Linked DNA regions of Struthio camelus. The protein of the gene in region 1 purifies or fractionates together with the protein of each later gene. This does not show direct contact. Links are inferred from orthologs where the notes say so. Each region holds a gene or a part of one and is shown on either strand. Other genes may lie near its edges.

Region 1 (8,256 bases):
AGAGCAACTTAACCCTCTATCTAAGCACTGCTATTGCAATATTATTTGTATGCTTCCAAAAGCATACTTTTAGAAGAACTACTTTTCAAAAGATTTTTCTTTCTAACAAGATGTCTCACAGTATATTAGCACTAACAAACGAATCAGAAGGAAAACTTCGCAAGTATCATGTAGCATATACATTATCAGAATTCACTGGAGAGCAAGGCTTTGTTTGGTTTGTAAAAACAGTGTATTCAGGTCTCAGGAGACTGCAGTGCATATGAACAGTAAGAATTCAGAATAAAGGTGGTAAATTTTCATGAGGCTATCATGCTTCTTAATACTTACATGTATGAACAACAGAAAATTGGCAATAAGGACTGCTGGAATAGCACGAAATCTTGGCCTCAGTTGGGAATGCAATGCATGAGACGAAATAAGTGGTGCATCAAGTAGAGGATCATCTTCTAAACTCTGTGTTATTTCCAAGGAACCCTGAAGCAGGGGAGGATAACAAAAAAGAAAAAGTAACCCCAGGGAAGCTTATGAAGTAGGGTACAAAGTTTCAGCAACGTCCTGCTGGAAACTTCAGCTCTGGGGACAGAACTATGTTAATTTCTTGGGAGACATGCTCCCTAAGTTGTAAGCAAACTATTTCTTTTCACACCTTTATGTAATAACTCAGTCACTCAAGAATTTGACACTAATTACTACCTAGCATTGCAATGAGTCTGGAGGAACTTTAGTTAGCATATGAAGAACTCAATAAGCATAAGACTTTACTACAGAGGTTCTTCATAAGAAGAATGGAAAAAAAAATAGCCCCAAACAGTAACCTTGCCTTTGGTTGTCACTTAAAGCAATGCCTGATGACCACACATATAGCTAAGATCTCCGTGAGGTACTTCTTTGTGGCCTATCAAAGGCTACAGAGAACTAGTATGCCTACATGGGAAGGTGGAAATATTGATAATTAAGGTCTCTCTCATTTTTCATATAGGTCCTGCAAAAATCCTTATTCTTGCTTTTGTCAAAATAAAGTTACAAAGATAACAGAGATAGCTGCAGTGTACCAGCAACACATAATTTCAGTTTGAAGTGATTCAGCTACTAATACTAGTACCATATCAAAAGGTTCATACAAATATTTCTTCAGTAAGTGTCAGCTGGTTCAAACTGAATCCAGGCAAGAGCAAAAAGGCAGTGCAGAAGCAGGGAGGTGCTCCAGGTACAGGTCAAAACACTCCCTACTTCCACTAGGGAGTATCAGCAGCCTTCTTTGACTTCACATGAGCTCATGTTTTGGCTATGTATGTTTCCCAGAGTAATTTTTGCAGTTTTTAAAAATAAGTATGGGTGGCAGGAACACCTTTCCTAACAGACAAAAAAGTTGCCCTAGTGGCCTTTATCTTTGTCACTTCCAAACTAGAATACAGCCATTTGGCACACCTGAAGTTGAATGTACACAGCCATTATGAATGAACAACATGCTTGCCAGTGACTCAAACTCAAGTTTCTCCCTTGGCATCCTGTTACTTTCCATGCTATACCTTGTTTGCTTTGAAAAATAAGGTCCCTGGTAAAGTTTTGCCTGGTCTCCTCTGCAATGAGGCCAGTCACAGCCCAGAATAAAGCATGCAGAGCGGAGAAACCCCTGCCGAGAGCATTATCAAAGGGGTTTCCAGAGATGATCAGCAGAAGTTAGAAAGTGACCATCTAGAAAGCACTACCAGTGGTTGCTTTTTGCTGGAAGTGCTTCTATTGCTATGGATTGGGGGGTGGGGTACCAAAGCCAAGAAAGAACAGCTGACCCAATACCACTCCAGAGTTCTGGCTAATCAAAGCGATACACCATAGCCCACTGGACTATTTATTGTTGTTAAAACTTAGGACTCCGCATTGCCATGATAGAAAGCAGGGCAAAGCTCAAGAGAAATTAAGTATTTCATTCCTCAAGACACTAGTACGAGGAGAAAGATGTGAGACAGAGGAACAAAGGTTTTGAAACTAGAATTAGCTTTACACTTCATATTAACCACAACAGTGCACCTATCTATTGGCTCCCCAATCTTGTTTCTCCTACATACAGCTGCCTGCCTACAATGAAGGAGCTAGTTTCAATAGTTATTTCAGTCAGTGTTTAATTTTACTTTAGTAGTGTGCACACAACACTCACCACCTACCACAGAAGACTGAACGTGTTCTCCTCACTTGATTCCTTTCAACCTTCTGATTAGGCTTGTCGTCTGTAAGCAAGCCTTCCTAAAATACTCACCTGGTAAAACAATGTTTTACTGCAGACCTGAAGATCTGCACATGTTATTGGACTGTTCATGTTACTGGTATAGCCTCTGACCCACACAACCCCTGTTCAGGGACCAGGTGGATCTTTAAAGTCTGGAAGTGAGCATGTAGGACAGGCATGTCAGCAACCAAAACATCTCTACTTTGCCCTCCCTAATGCACAGGGTCAACAGCTCACTCCTCCCACCAGAACAACCATCTTTGCTAGTCTGGATGATATCCTTTGTGTCACAGAAATACATGACCACTTGTAAAATTCAATGACAATTCAATTTATTCCTTCATAGGCAGAGCTTTATCAGCTGTTGGGCCACACTGCTTTGTATGAGAGCCTGCAGCTCATCTTCACACAGTGAAATACAGCAAACATCAGGAAACACTGAAGGCCATAACCTCCCAGAAGAGTTATTATTACAGGCAGCGTGGGGAGGAAGGGAATAAAAGCAAGAGACACAGTGGTGAGAACACAATTAATCTGACATTAACAAAATCTAACAGGCATCCTAATGAGATCAAGTTCAGACTTCACTTAATTAGAATGAGCTATAACCACTACTATTAAAAGCCTAATCAAAACATAATAAAAAAGGGGGGAAGAAAAAAGAGCGACTTCTGTTAGTCACAGATGTTAATGCAAACGCAGGTTAAGGCAGCCCTGCCAGCTCCAGGCCCTGCCCAGCACCGACCACACCAAAAAAAAAATAAAAACAAAAACAAAACCGCGGCACACGGAGAAACCAAAGCCACACAAGCACTTCGGTCAAGAACCCCGATTACAGACAAGGCGGGCCGGGCCTGCCACCAGCCCCGCGGCCGGGCCGGGCCGGCCGGGTCGCGCCGCCCCAGGCAGGCGGCGTCTCCCTCTGGAAGCGGCAGCCGGAGATACGCCCCGCTCAGCTGCGCTGCCCGCCGCCTGCCCCCGAGGGGAAGAGAAAGCCTGGGGCGGCCGCCAGGACGGCGAGGAGCGCCGGGCCCGGACCTCCCCGCCCGCCGGGCCCCGCTAGCGGCCTCCCCAGGCGCCCCCCCGCCCGCCACCTCCGAGGAGGCGGCGGCGGTCGGCCCCGCCGCGGCGCCCGGACACGCGGCCTCCCTCCCGCCCCCGCGCAGGCCCGCGCTCACGTTGTCCAAGTCCCGCTGCTGCCGCCCGACTCCCGTCACCGCCATCTCCGCGCCCCTTCCCCCGCCTCCCCAGCTGCATTTAATCGGCGCCCGCCTGCGCCAAGCGCAAACCCCACCTCCCCGCCCCGCCCCGCCATGACCGCCCCCGGCTGCTATTGGGCCTGGGCCGCGCCGGGGCGGGGGCGGCGGCGGGGCCGTGTCTGCGTGGGGGGCGCCCACGGCGCGGCCCGGGGCGAGGGGCTGGTGGCGCCCTGCGGGGCAGGTGGTGTCATGGCGGCGCCCCAGGCCCCGTGCAGCGGCGGCAGGGCCCAAAGACGCGTGCCCCAAGCCTGCGCTGGCGGTGCCTCCTGTTGTTAAACGACATAGGTCGGTGGCCTTTGTCGCGCAGCTTGAGGCTGGATTTTAAAGAAGCGAGCAGTTAAAGCAGGCCGGCAGCCCGTTGCCCTGAAAGCCGTTGTGCGGCCGAGGCGTGAGGTGGTGGTGCTGGGAGGGGAAGGGCCGTGCTGGGTCTGCGCCTTGGCCAGCGCCGGCCGGGGCCTGCAGCTGCCGGCGGGCCTTCCTCCCTGAGGGGTGAGGGTGATGTGGCGTCGGCCGAGGATGGCATCCGCCTAGGCGAGGTCAATAACAGCACTCTTACTGCCCAGCCCTGTGTTTTGTCTCTGTTATCTGCCCTGTCCGTAACGGCAACAAACAGTCGCTGCCTAGGGAAAAATAAGAGAGTTGAGCCGCTGCAAAGTTATTTTCAGCTTGCTCTGCAGAATGTTTTATCATCCCTAACAACTGGTATCTCAGGGAATTTTCGAGAAAGGGACAGCGTCTACGTACTTAATCATTTCCAGCGTATTTCTCTTCTGTGAAGTCCTGTTGCCCCATTAGACCATGTAAAATTTAAATGTGCGCAAGATCTCGGTCAAAAGATGTTTCTAGCTCAGTTACGTATTTTGTGGAGAAACACGTTTCCTTTTAAACCTGCCAAGTCCTAATTTCATGTTATAACCCTTTGTTCTTGTACTGGGAGAGCCAAAGCGCAGCTGATCCCCATTCACAGTGTCCCTGCTACCCGTTTTATGGATGTCTCTCTTACTACCCCTTGACTCCCTGTGGAAGCTGAACACTCCTGGCTAATTAGTCATTCTTCACACAGAGGTTGTCCCAACCTTTGATAATCTTTGTTAGCTTCTCTGAAATGTTTCAGCTGTATCCTTTCTAAAATAGGAAGGATCAGCACCGCACATAACGTTCAAGTGTGTGCATAGCAGGAATTTACAAAGTGGCATATTTATTATCTGCTTGGTGCTCTGTTTCTTTGCTAATACTTCTTAACCTTTAATTTGCCTTATTTGACCATCCCTGAACTTTAGCCTGGTGTTACTGAGGGCACTGCAGGGGATCAGAGCTGTGACAGTGGCTTGAAAGAAAGCAAGGTTGTATCATCTTCAGGTTGGAAGCAGTCTTCATGTTGTTAAGAGAAGCCAGGACTTTGACTTTCTGAAACAGCCCCAAAAGGAAAAACTGCTTTTTTGAGGTATAAACTTCAGTCTCAAGCTTATTGTCTCTATTTCTATAACTTTTTTCTCTTCTAGAAAAATACCCAGTGGAACCCTCCCACCCAAAGCATTTACATGCTGCATGGCTGGCATTCATTCTTGTTTTGTGTGGATACACATATTTAACTCCTTGGGCAACTACCTTAAATGTAAAAACATACATTAAACCTGCTGGTTTCAGTAAGATTAAGCCCAACTATAAAAGCATTAAGCTGTTGTGATGTGAATCTCCCCAGTTCCATTTGCTCTGCTGAAATGTTCTGTTTTTCCACTTTGTTATTGTGCTTCCTCTTCCCCCCTCCCACTGCCTTTCTCAGTAGAACACAAATCCTGCTGATCAGCAGTCACAGAACTTGGAAAAAAAAAGACAAAAATTTTCTGTGGCACCGAAGCAAGACCACAATTCACTGGTTGCTGCACCAGCAATTGGTGTCACTTTTGTAATGTGTATTGTCTTGAGTAATGTGTATTGTCAAGAGTTAGCTTGGCAGGTGTGGTCTACACCTACACAGATCTAATAACCATATACTTTAAAGAGAAGGATATTTCAATAGATCAGTTTAAAAATTGATTGCACAATTTTTACAAGGATGCTCTATGACTGCTAAAGCTTCCCATTTCTTCATATAACTGTATAACTTATCTGCATAGCTCCTTTGTTGACTCAGCTTTTAATCAGCATTAAAAGAATGAGGTCTTCATGTTCAGTATGTTGTGCAAGGAACAACAATGTCTGCCTTCTGGCTAATATGTCTGTTCTGGAATAACCAGAAATACTAGTGTGCAAGGTGCTGCACCTAGTCACACAGCCAGAAAGCTAGTGCCGGCTGGAGTGCCGGCTAATAATGCTAATACCTTTAACATTTGTCTTTAAATATAAATACACTTATTTATATTAGTTTTAAAAATACAGCAGAGCTATTTAAATCAAAACAGCATTAAATGTTTTGAAGAAATCACAAACCACTTTAATCCTTCATAAAAAATCATAGATCATCTTGTGTTGCTTAGCTACCATTGCTTTTATTTATGACCAAACAAAATGCTCAAATGCATGTTTATTTCTTATATTTCCCACATTTTGTTTGCTTGCTTGCTTATGTGCCTACTTAGGAATGCACACATATGTTTTACTCCTTAATTTGGGAGTTTGGATTCTGAATTTAGCATGGATGATAACTTGAGCTGAAATAGCGTGTGTGGGGGACAGATATAATCGAAAAAGTTAAGTGATTTAGAACAATTGTGCAGCAATCTGTGATCCAAGAAGCCAGTAACCTGGCACTCCATTCGTTACTTGGATGCACAAGGTCTGTGTAACAATTGTTACTTTGTATAACTATTTATTAGCACAATAATTTCAGTTGTAGAGGCATTCTTATTCATCCTCTTGCCAGCCTCAGTAAAATAGTGTATGCTAGCTGTAGTCTTGTTTTCAACCTCTTTTTGCATGCATACATCCAATACAATCAGGTGAGAAAACACGAAATTCCTCTACATTATGTCAGTAGCGTAATATATAAAAAAAGAACATAGCTGCTGCTAAGCAGCTGTCACTTCTCTGTGCTTGTTTAGAGATCATCTTGTATAGCAAGCAATCTCTGGTCTCATCTAGAATCCATTACTGCAAACTGCTGTATACTTACAAAACACCTCTATTCAATGGCTTGCAAACAGATATGTAATAGAAAATATGCATGATGTAGGCAATTATGCATGTGTTTGAGATTAAATCAAATACATAAATTATTTGAAGTATAATTTTAGATACCTAAAGTCCCAGCAGGGTTACATCTATCAACAGTCATTTGAATATGTATAATTTTGTATATACTTGTGAGTAATGTTTCTACCGAGTTTAAAATGAAGTGTTTTCAAAGGGTTACTAAAGGGCACAGTTGGGTAAAAATTAAAAGCTTAAATATTTCAAATGCACAAATATTTATTGTATACAAGATTAGTTAGCATTTTCAGAAATATGTGACTACAATTTTCAACCAGCATACTTAAAATATGAATGTAATTATTATCATAGTATTCTATTCTTGTTCTTAGTGTGACAATCTGTGCTGTGTTTTGGTCAATCAAATGAGTTACTAGATTCACAGGTAATTTTTAGTGTCAGAGGTTTTAGTAATGTAAATAGAGTAGTTCTTTCTCTTCTGCTGAATTCCTGTTTCAACCTCTGGCAGATTTTGCAGACATTGTCATTTTAGTGTACCTGACTTGAATCTCTGCTAGTGAGGGTGGATCCAGTGCTGAGAGTCTGAGTGTGAAATGAGGCCCGTTCTTACGTTACTTCCTCTGCAACTCCAACGGTGAAAGAGTCTGATAAAAATAAGGTAAAAAAGACATGGTATGGCCCAAAAATGTCATGCTATGATGTCCTTATTTTCAGACTACCCTTTAGGAAAACTAACATAGGTTAGAGCATGCCCAGGTTTAATTCCTGTACTTAGACATAAGCCCTTCCATGTCAGTAATAACTACAATATTTGAGGACTAAATTTCACAGTTGTATCCTGACAAAGAGGCCTAAAGCTTACTCTTTTTCCTCTTGCAACTTTATGTACAATTTGGCATTAACAGAAGCAGGACTGGGCTCCCAATGTTTTCCACATTAAGCTGTAAGGGGTATTCATTATTTCTATTTCTTGTTCATATTGCAGGCACAATTAGGACTTAAACTATATTCAGCTCTGTGTAAAGAATACAGTCTCTGCTCTGAGAATATGGGATTGTGACAGATATCAGCATGAACTAAAAATACAAATGGGAAGTGAAAAGGTCAAATAACGGTAAAGACAAATATATTTGCATGAATTGATTGTAGCAGTCATACTGCAGTAAGTGAAGCCTATGTTCTGGCCTCAGGTTACAGACACATCACAGTTATCTCAAGCCTCTGTAAGTTTTTAAAATCCTATTGAAATTAAAAAAACAGTTCACTAGTAAATACACATTGGAACTAAAGGAATGTTTCTCACTGTGTATCATTTCCAATCTTCACATAACGTAAGGTGCGCTTCATGTTAAGGTTTCTCTGGTGAACAACATGGCACTGTTTCTACACATTAATTACCTGATAAAATTGCTAATTGCTGTGAACCTTTGGCTTCATAAAATACTCATTAAAAATCCTGTGGCCCCATTTTCATTTAAATGCAAGATACTGAAAAGAGAAGAGCAGCGTAACACTGGTTTAAATAAAAACTCTTACAAGTCTTTTGCTCTTTGAATTACAAATTTGAATGCTGGAGGCTTGGTGTGGCCTGTGGATAACTCTTCCACTTCGTTAGTACCA
Region 2 (8,428 bases), on another chromosome or scaffold:
TGAAATCATCTACTCTCTCAGGACATATTCCAAATTTCTAGAGGTTCCTACTTATATATAACCTCTAGAGGCTCCTACCAAACAGAAGCAGCATTGAGATTTGAGGAGATGGTGAAAGAAGCCCTTCAAAAAGCACCTGATTCCTACCCGCTGTGCATGGCTGCCAAAGGTGATAGGTAACAGCATACTGGATGCATGTAAAACCTGCCCGGCACAAAGTACGCGGAGGAGGTAGCAAGTCAGAGAAGGAGAGCTTCTTTCTGCTCAGACTTTTGAGGTTTGCAACTCATGGGAAAGGATGGCTGCACGGAAACAACAGACATGAAAATTCAGTTCGGTCCTTACTCCTAAAAATATGTGAGGCTACTATGCATTTCAGCATACGTTCCCTCCTGCAATAGTCTGCCTGACCGGTCTAGCTGATCCATTAAAACCTGCAGATCTTTCTACAGAACTAGAGACTTTTTCTCCACTTCATGCCTTCGCAGGTGCTCACTCCTAACTAACTGGAGAACCTCATACTTAAACTAGAGAAGTGACTGAAGAAAAGGAGAATACAATCCAGTAAAGCAAAAGATTGTTCTGAATGTTATTTACACCCTCCATAGGGCATGCTGCTTCTCAAGGTTTTGAATTATTTACTCACCTCCATCATCTAATCACTGAATAAAATTCTGACTCTGGGCAGAGAGAAATTCTGCTCACTTCATCCCTTCAGGCTGACAGTGAACAAGTGGAAAAGACAGTGATAAGAATTACTAAACGCTCCAGGACTCATGAGATTTCTGAATAGTAGGAAAAAAAGAATACAGGAGCATATATCAAGAACAGCTATGTAGCTGAAGACCCCTGTTTACATTAATTTCTAGGCAGCAGAAGATTCTGTTAAAACTTCCACAGTGGCTGTAACGCCCCGTAAGGCAATACCTACAAAGGGAAATCCCTCAGCTAGCAGAATTAGAGACAAAAGTAGTACATCTACCCACAAAGTAAGGCAGTAAACACTAAAGATTGCTTGCACATTCACAAACCACCGGTTTGTTATGCCTTTTTAGGAGAATTTTTGTTTGTACAGAGTTCTATGGTGCACTAGAAGATACCAGCTTTGCAATTTACTACTGCAAAGCACACAAACTTACTGCCAAGAAGTAGCTTAGAGCTCCAGCAACATTAAATAAAAGCTCATTTTTTAGTTAAAGAGTTATTTATTACTGCACCTGTGTACCAGTTCTGTATTACCATCCATTCTCATTTCAGAAGAAACTGGGCCAGGCCTTAAGTTTCTGGAAACCACTGCAACCTAGCCAGCATAGCCATGGTACTTCAATATAAACACACCATGTCACACGGCATGTTAAAAGACTATTGACTGAGCCAAAAGATAAGTATATTTAGAAGTAATTATTTTACCACAATTTGAAAAGCAGTATAAAACTAGCAGGAGCAACTTTACTAACTTGTTTTGTAATACTGCAATTTCTTGGCTTCTCAATGCTGTTTTACATATTAGGAAAGTCCCTTCCACCCTCATTAAAAAAAAAGATATGAAAAAAGACATAAATTGAGCTCTGAAACTATTTTTGCTATTAATTAGTAGGTGAGAGCAAAAGGAAGAAAGCTTATTTACTATGAGTAACTGAAAACATCCTAAGAAGAAGTATCAAGTTAACTACTACTCAGACTGTTTTCCTTACAGAGAAAGTAGCTTGCAATAACTTCTCCAAAAGGGATACTTCAGCACAGGTGGTGGTAGATGGCAGCAGTAAAGACTGAAGAAATGCTACAGTTAGCAAGCGCATACAGTAGACTTGACCAACACAGATAATCCCAACAGACATACAGCACCTTACACGCCCTGACCTGCTTAACAGTGAGTAACTGTAATTTTTGCCAGTACAGCTTTATTCCAGCTGCCAAAAGATGCACCTTCCCTATAAGAGATCTGATCTACTTTTAAGTAACTAGTTAGAAGATGTCCTCAAAAGCCACAGACACAAACGTGACAAGCATCTAACACAGTTGGCAGGAAGTGCTAGCATAGCAGAGGACTACGTTCAGTTAACTGCTAAATTTGTAATATAGAATTTGCAGGACAGGGGCATTCTCTTCATGAAACCTGAAGATCAGACAGCCTCCTTGCATGCTTTGCTCACGTAACAGTGCTGCAGACAGTAAAACATGATTAATAAAATTAGGGATTGCATTTATCAGAAGCAGATTAGCCTGGCTTTTTGCAACCTCTAGTCAGTCTACCTCTTTATAGAAGGAGCGTCTTTGGATATAAAGGTACACAAGGTTTGTGTGTGTGGTTTTTTTTTTGTTAAAAAAAAAAAAACCCACTACTTTCTCACCCTTACTATACCAAAGGCATCTACAAATGCAAAAGGAGTGCTATGGTATAATACTGCTACTTAATGCAACAGCAAACAGTGGCAAAAGTTGGCATTTAAGTATAAGGCTTTATAATGGAACAAAGAGAGTATTAACAAAAATACAGAGTGAACTGAGGGGCAGACAAGTCCATTCTCAAAGCCATGACCTGAAAGGACAACGTTACTCTGCAAAGTGCTCGTCACGCTTTGAGAACGCTTTATAAGGGAGAACCCCCTGAATTCATCCCAAACCTCACTTAAATACATAAACATATATAACTCATCTCTTCAGAGATAAAAACGCGTTACTAGCACTTGCTTGACTCCTACTTGAGTTTTCTTTTTTAAGGGGAACAAGAGTTATTCCAACACGCTCTATATCGCGTGAGAGTATGACCGTTGGTCTCCCCAGCTCCAAACGCGCCTCGGTTGCCGCTGGGAGCCGACCGGGAGGGCTCAGGAAGGCGGCAGCGGCCTGCGGGCTGACAGCGGCAGCGCCGAGCGCAGGGAGCCGGTCGGCGGCCTCGCCTGCGCCCTCGCCCGCCAAGGCCGCCGGGGCCCGGGCGCTCGCCGCCGGCTGCTCACCCACAGCGAGCAGCGGGGCCTTCGCTGCGCCGCAGAGAAGCGCCAGCCCCGACTCTCCCTCTGCGGGTGACGGCGCAGCCGGCAGAGCAGCCCCGGGCGGCGGCGGCGGCCGGAGGGGGGGGGGGGAGGGGGCGAACGTCGCCGCCGCCGGGGAGGGGCCGCGGGCAGCCCCAGGCGCCCCCGCGCGCTCGGCCGTTGCCCGAGGCCGCGTCACGTGCCCGACGCGGGGGGTGGGGGGGGAGGAGGGGGCACGCGCCAGCCGCCGCGGGGACAACAACCGCCCCCCGCCCGCGCGCGCGCGCGGCCCAACGGCCCTGGCGCGCGGGCCCGTCGCCCCCTCAGCTCAGCTCAGCTCAGCCGCGCCCGCCCGCAGGCCCCGCGCCCGCAGGCCTCGGCGCGCCCCCTCACCGGCGGTGCCGAGCAGCAGCAGGAGGCAGGCGGAGCAGCGCGGCAGGCGGAGCGGCCCCCGCGGCGACCAGCGCGGCTCCATGCTCCCGGCGGCGGCAGGCGGAGGGGTTGCGTGAGGCGGCGAGGGGAGAGCGGCGGGGAGGGGGGGATGCCTAGAAGCGGGCGGGCGCGGCAAAAGCGTCGCCGTCGGTCATGTGAGGGGATGGGCGGGGCTGTTTGCGCTCCGCCAATCGCCGCGCCCGCCCGGCTCGATTCCATGGCTCTCGGGCGAGGCGCGCGCCGCGCCTCCTCGGGCGGGCGGCGGGGGGGGGGGGGGGTTTGGGTCCGGGTGTTGCCTCAGGGGCTGGGGGCCATTTTCCTGCCACACGCCGGGTGGCAGCGCGGTGCCCGGCCGATCCCCCTGTAAGACCCTATTTCCACTTCGTATAGCTCTACTCTTTAATTTGTGTCAGCTTGGACTCGGGTTTTCCTTGAAAAAGGCCTGCTCTTGGCTAAATCTCCTTTTTTTCTTTTTTCTCCTTTTCTCTCTCTTTTTTTTCCCTGCTCTTCTTCTATTTCTCCATCCCTTCTCTCCTTCTCATCATATTTGAACCTTTTCCATGAGTAAGGCTGAGGGAAAACAAGTTTTGCATCCAATAAACAAAAATCTGCTGACCTTTCTTTCCTTGGGTGAACTCTAGCATTTCCATGTTGTGCAACAGGGACTTGGCAAGGAGGGGCCCTCTGAGCCAGAGACGCGGTGTTTCCTGTTCCTCTGACCGTCCGCTGCAGACTTCACAGTGCTGAAGATTTCTGGTGTGAACATGCTCAGAAGGGGCTTTGAAGATTTCAGTGGCCGAGCTCCTCTCAGATTTCGTCATCTTTCACCATTGTTGAACAAGAGAGAATCCAGCAAGAGTTAGGGGCACAGAAATACGTTATAAGAGGAAAGCTTGAAAGACTTTTTAAACACAGAAATGCCATCTCTGGCTCAGAACGCCCCTGACCGGCCTATTGTTCAAAGCTGGCATTGTGTAACAAAGAAGTAGCGCTATATATTTACTCTCTTCTTATAGTCTTCCCTGCATGTCCACTATTGGCTACTGCAGAAACAGGTTATGAGGCATTTACTTTGACCTCATACAGCCGTTCTGAAGTTAACTGGGCTCTTTTTAGGTTAAGAAGAAAAAGCTGAGAGAAGATACACTAAGAAAAAATTATACTTTTAATATAGAGACTTCCACTGGAAAAAAAATAAAGGAATAAACTATTTTCCATGTTTACAATAAATAGGATGGGAGAGAAATGGGCTAAAATGACAACAAATATTTACGTTAGATAGTGGGGAAGGACTAGTAGAGCTTTGCACTAGATTCGCATGCCAGATTGTGTTTTTTTAAAAAACAGGTTAGACAAACTTCCTTCAGGAAATTATTCTGTTGTAGGGCAGAGGTGGACTTAGATAGTCTCCCAATGTCCCTGCCCGCTCTAATCTCTGTGATTCTGTTATCCATCATTTCACATTACCCAGGGCTAATCAGAGATTATACCACACCTTTGCAGAAGTAGGCCCATTCTCTGCCCCTTCCTAGCTCTTCTTGTGTGTGAGCAGAATTCACATGTACCGTGCCTACTAAATGACTGGCTAGAAATCTTTCCAGTAATTGCTTCTGTTAAGGAGGGTGGAGTTTGGCATTAGCAGCAAGAACTGGGAGGCTTTGCTGCATTTGCACTAATGCCTAAGTGCAAGACAGAAAGAAGAAGGCAGGAGAAAGAAGCTGCCAGATGCAAGTGCAGGAGAAAACACACGATAGGGTAGATGGGAAGGGGAAGAAGACAAGAGTGGACATGAAACCTGGTGAATCTGAGACTGGATGGAGATATAAAATCAGCTGGAAGTTGAATTGAAGGTTGGAGGGTATTGATCAGAAACAGACACAAAGGTTGTCTTGGCACAGAAACCATGGTTAAGAGATGGGAAAGAAGAGACTGACACTGGGAGACAGCGAGGAGAACGGCAGGAGGATTCTCAGCTGCCTGAGGAAACAGGAGCTCTAGATTCAGTAAGGGCAGGCCCTACTGGAATAAGATATGTGTGTTTCTCTAGGAAAACCGCAAATGGTATTTGACTAACCAGGATCTAAGAGATATACCCAGTGATGCAGGAAGAGAATGAAAGCTCTTGAAGAGGACAATGAAACACTTCAACCTGGTATCGTGAGACAGAGTCTTAAGATAAGGCATAAAGGTGGTGTAGACAAGAGGACGAGCATAAAGTCTTGAGGAAGTTGAAATAATGCAATGTATGAGTATATGGTAATTAAATAGTCTAAGTTATGTACTTGTAATGCTGTACTTTTCCAAAGAATATCACAAAACAAAATCTGGCAAGGCTAGAACACCACTGAAACCAGTGAATTTTACAAACGGGGCTTCCACCCACAAGTGCTTGTGTGTTTTTTTTTTTTTTAATTCAGCCTTTGGGCTTAATTTACTGAAAACTTATCTGAGGAAATAAAATTTATGTTTAATACTTGAGCCATTGTTTGTTGTAGGCCGTGGGGGAGCTTCGAGTGTAGATGGAATGGCATAGATAATGGCATAGATGAAAGCACTAATCCTGAAAGTAGCAAGTCTTTGGGCTTTCAGCTCTAGGGCAAAAAATGGGGCAGTTGAAAGGCTAGGGAGAGTCCCATCTCCCATGCTTTTACATATCCTCATGCTTTGTTGTTTTAGTGAAATGGAACATGGTCACAATAGATCTTGTTCTTAAAGAGTGATCGTTCAGGCAGGAACTCCATTGAAAGGTTTTAAATATTAGGATAGCGACACTGAATTAGGCTTTAACTAACGGGAGCAGGAGAAAATGGGTGATATGTTCTAGGCAGTTGGTGTGCAGCAATGTCGTGTTTTGTGTCAGCTGGAACGTTTACTTCAGGACATGAGCTTTATTTATAAACACTAGTGTCTTGAATATCCCTTACTTCTGATAATATTCTGATCTCTTGCCGGTACCTTAGAAATGGACTGTAACATGACTAGACAATCTGCAGAAGTGAAAGGAAGAGTGATTCCTTGTTTCCATTGTGCCAGCTTAGTGAAGTGTGAAATGAAATCAAATGGTAGATACAGTAACAAGCAAATCTGTTCCTAATAAATTACACAGAGTCAGATTAGCGACTGGTGTAGGACTAAAAGGCTAGTATAGTGCATATAATCTAGCATGATGTAAAATATATTATTTTGCACCAGAAATATCGTTGATATCACAACTGTTAAAGACTGTCCCTAGCTACAATGTGGGCAGTGATGAGGCAGCCATGAAAGGAATCTCTATACGTTTCTGCCCTTCCGAGAGGAGTCCTTGGGAAGACTCCAAAGGGTGAAACTGTACCTGGAGTGAGTGGGTGCAAGCACTTTTCATTCACATGAGGGGTGGAGTTTGTCCAGCAAAACCCACATGCTTCAGCTATCTGAATGTGGTGATTATCCGTTAAAGATATGTTTGTGATTCTTAAAAACAATGCACTCCTGCATTAGCACAGTAATACTCTCCTCTTGCCTAGCCTGATAACAGAAGCTTGGTTTTGGCAGTATTCTCCCTACAAGGCCAATTTTTGGGCAGTTTCCAAAGCCTGTCTTCTCTTCGTAGTTCTCCAAGGAACAACATAAATCTGTGTTCCTCTCCCTTTTTCAACAAATCCTCCAGCTTTCCTTAGAAAGGATTGTACTGGCTGTGATCAGGTGTTATCTGATTCCTCTTAAATTCCATGAAAAGCAAATATACTCAGTACTTGTAGGATTCAATCTCTAACAAATATCCATAGCATCTTATTTATCATGAGTAAGTTCCTTGTTGACTATTGTGGTCTTAAAGATGACAGCATTTATGTGGGAGTGGGACTTCTGTAACAAAGAGCAAACTCTTAACGATCAGCTGCTTTCCTTGGATGACAAAAGTGCGAATGATTGCTAGTATGATGCAGAAAAAATGCCTTAGCCTTTTGCCTACTGGGGGGATAGGATTTTTTATTTGGCATAATTGTGGGAGCCACTGATAGATGGTAAAGCTGGTCCTGTTTTTCTAAGACGCTCCTTGCAGTTACTGCTGGATTTGAAAATGAGGACTGTAATGTCACTGTATCACATTACATTTTTACTGCCTGGTATACTTAGCTTGATGTCAGGAGTTTCAACAACATGTACTGAGGACAGATATGCGATACCTATGTGATTTCTTTTGTAAGCTTCAGTTCAGCGAGGAATATAAATTCATGCCTAATTTCAGATGTATAGGTTGTTCTATGGCTTTCATTCGCACCATATTCTTGATGTCCAACATATGCTTAATCCGTTGCTGAATCTCTTAGTAGTTTTCAGCCGGTTTGATATTATGTCTGTATTCAGATTTTCCTTAATCCTGAGACTTGAGAAAATCAAGGGATGATTGTGTGGACAGAAGCAAAGTGCTCAGCAATGTTTAACAAAGCACTGAATAAACTGAGCGTTTCTGATCACCGGTGCTGGAGATTACAGGTTGTGAAATGAAGAAAAAAATATAACATCTGGAGCAGGCAGTAATTACTGATTTATTCTAATGTTTTGTATTCACTATTTTAGATGTCTGTTTAAGCAACATGTTATTCCATGGTACATTTTTTCACAGACCAGATAATAGCGGAACCTTTCCAGGAGGTGGAGGAAGGATTTGGCACCATATCCCAAGGGAGGGGCTGATGGAAAGAGGATGGGGTTAATAATGGCAGGTCCTAGATTCACTTGGCAGAGGCGGATGAACCACAGGGGCCCTCTGGAAACTGTGGCAATGACTGCACGAGTTAAAGCTATGGAAGTTTTCCTTTTCATGTAGCGCCAGTTTGTAGTTTGGTTACTTGTGCTGTGCTGTGGCACAGGAATTTGCTGTGGTCTGGACACCTTAATGACGAGCCTGCTTTGTCCAGCGCAGCATGACATGTGAGGTGTTTCAGCTGCATGTGAAAATGTTGGTCTGCTCAGTGTTAGAAAAGGGATGACTCTTGACAGCTCTGTTATGGTAGCTCTAAGGCAATCGCTTAGTATCTAAA

What was found. Proteins that work in one complex are often made in the same cells at the same time.
Region 2: the proteins of TMEM192 (region 1) and LAMP2 purify together in Homo sapiens (affinity purification with western blotting; 5 studies listed by BioGRID and IntAct, with this or other methods). This does not show direct contact. The link is inferred for Struthio camelus from reciprocal best matches to the Homo sapiens genes TMEM192 and LAMP2.

What each region holds. Positions count from the first base shown.
Region 1 is NC_090945.1:43,271,277-43,279,532, forward strand, and holds the start of TMEM192 (transmembrane protein 192), read right to left. Parts: upstream 3,484-8,256; 5' UTR 3,451-3,483; coding exon 3,406-3,450; intron 478-3,405; coding exon 331-477; intron 1-330.
Region 2 is NC_090952.1:11,883,440-11,891,867, reverse strand, and holds the start of LAMP2 (lysosome-associated membrane glycoprotein 2), read right to left. Parts: upstream 3,561-8,428; 5' UTR 3,448-3,560; coding exon 3,366-3,447; intron 1-3,365. UniProt on the Homo sapiens protein: Lysosomal membrane glycoprotein which plays an important role in lysosome biogenesis, lysosomal pH regulation and autophagy.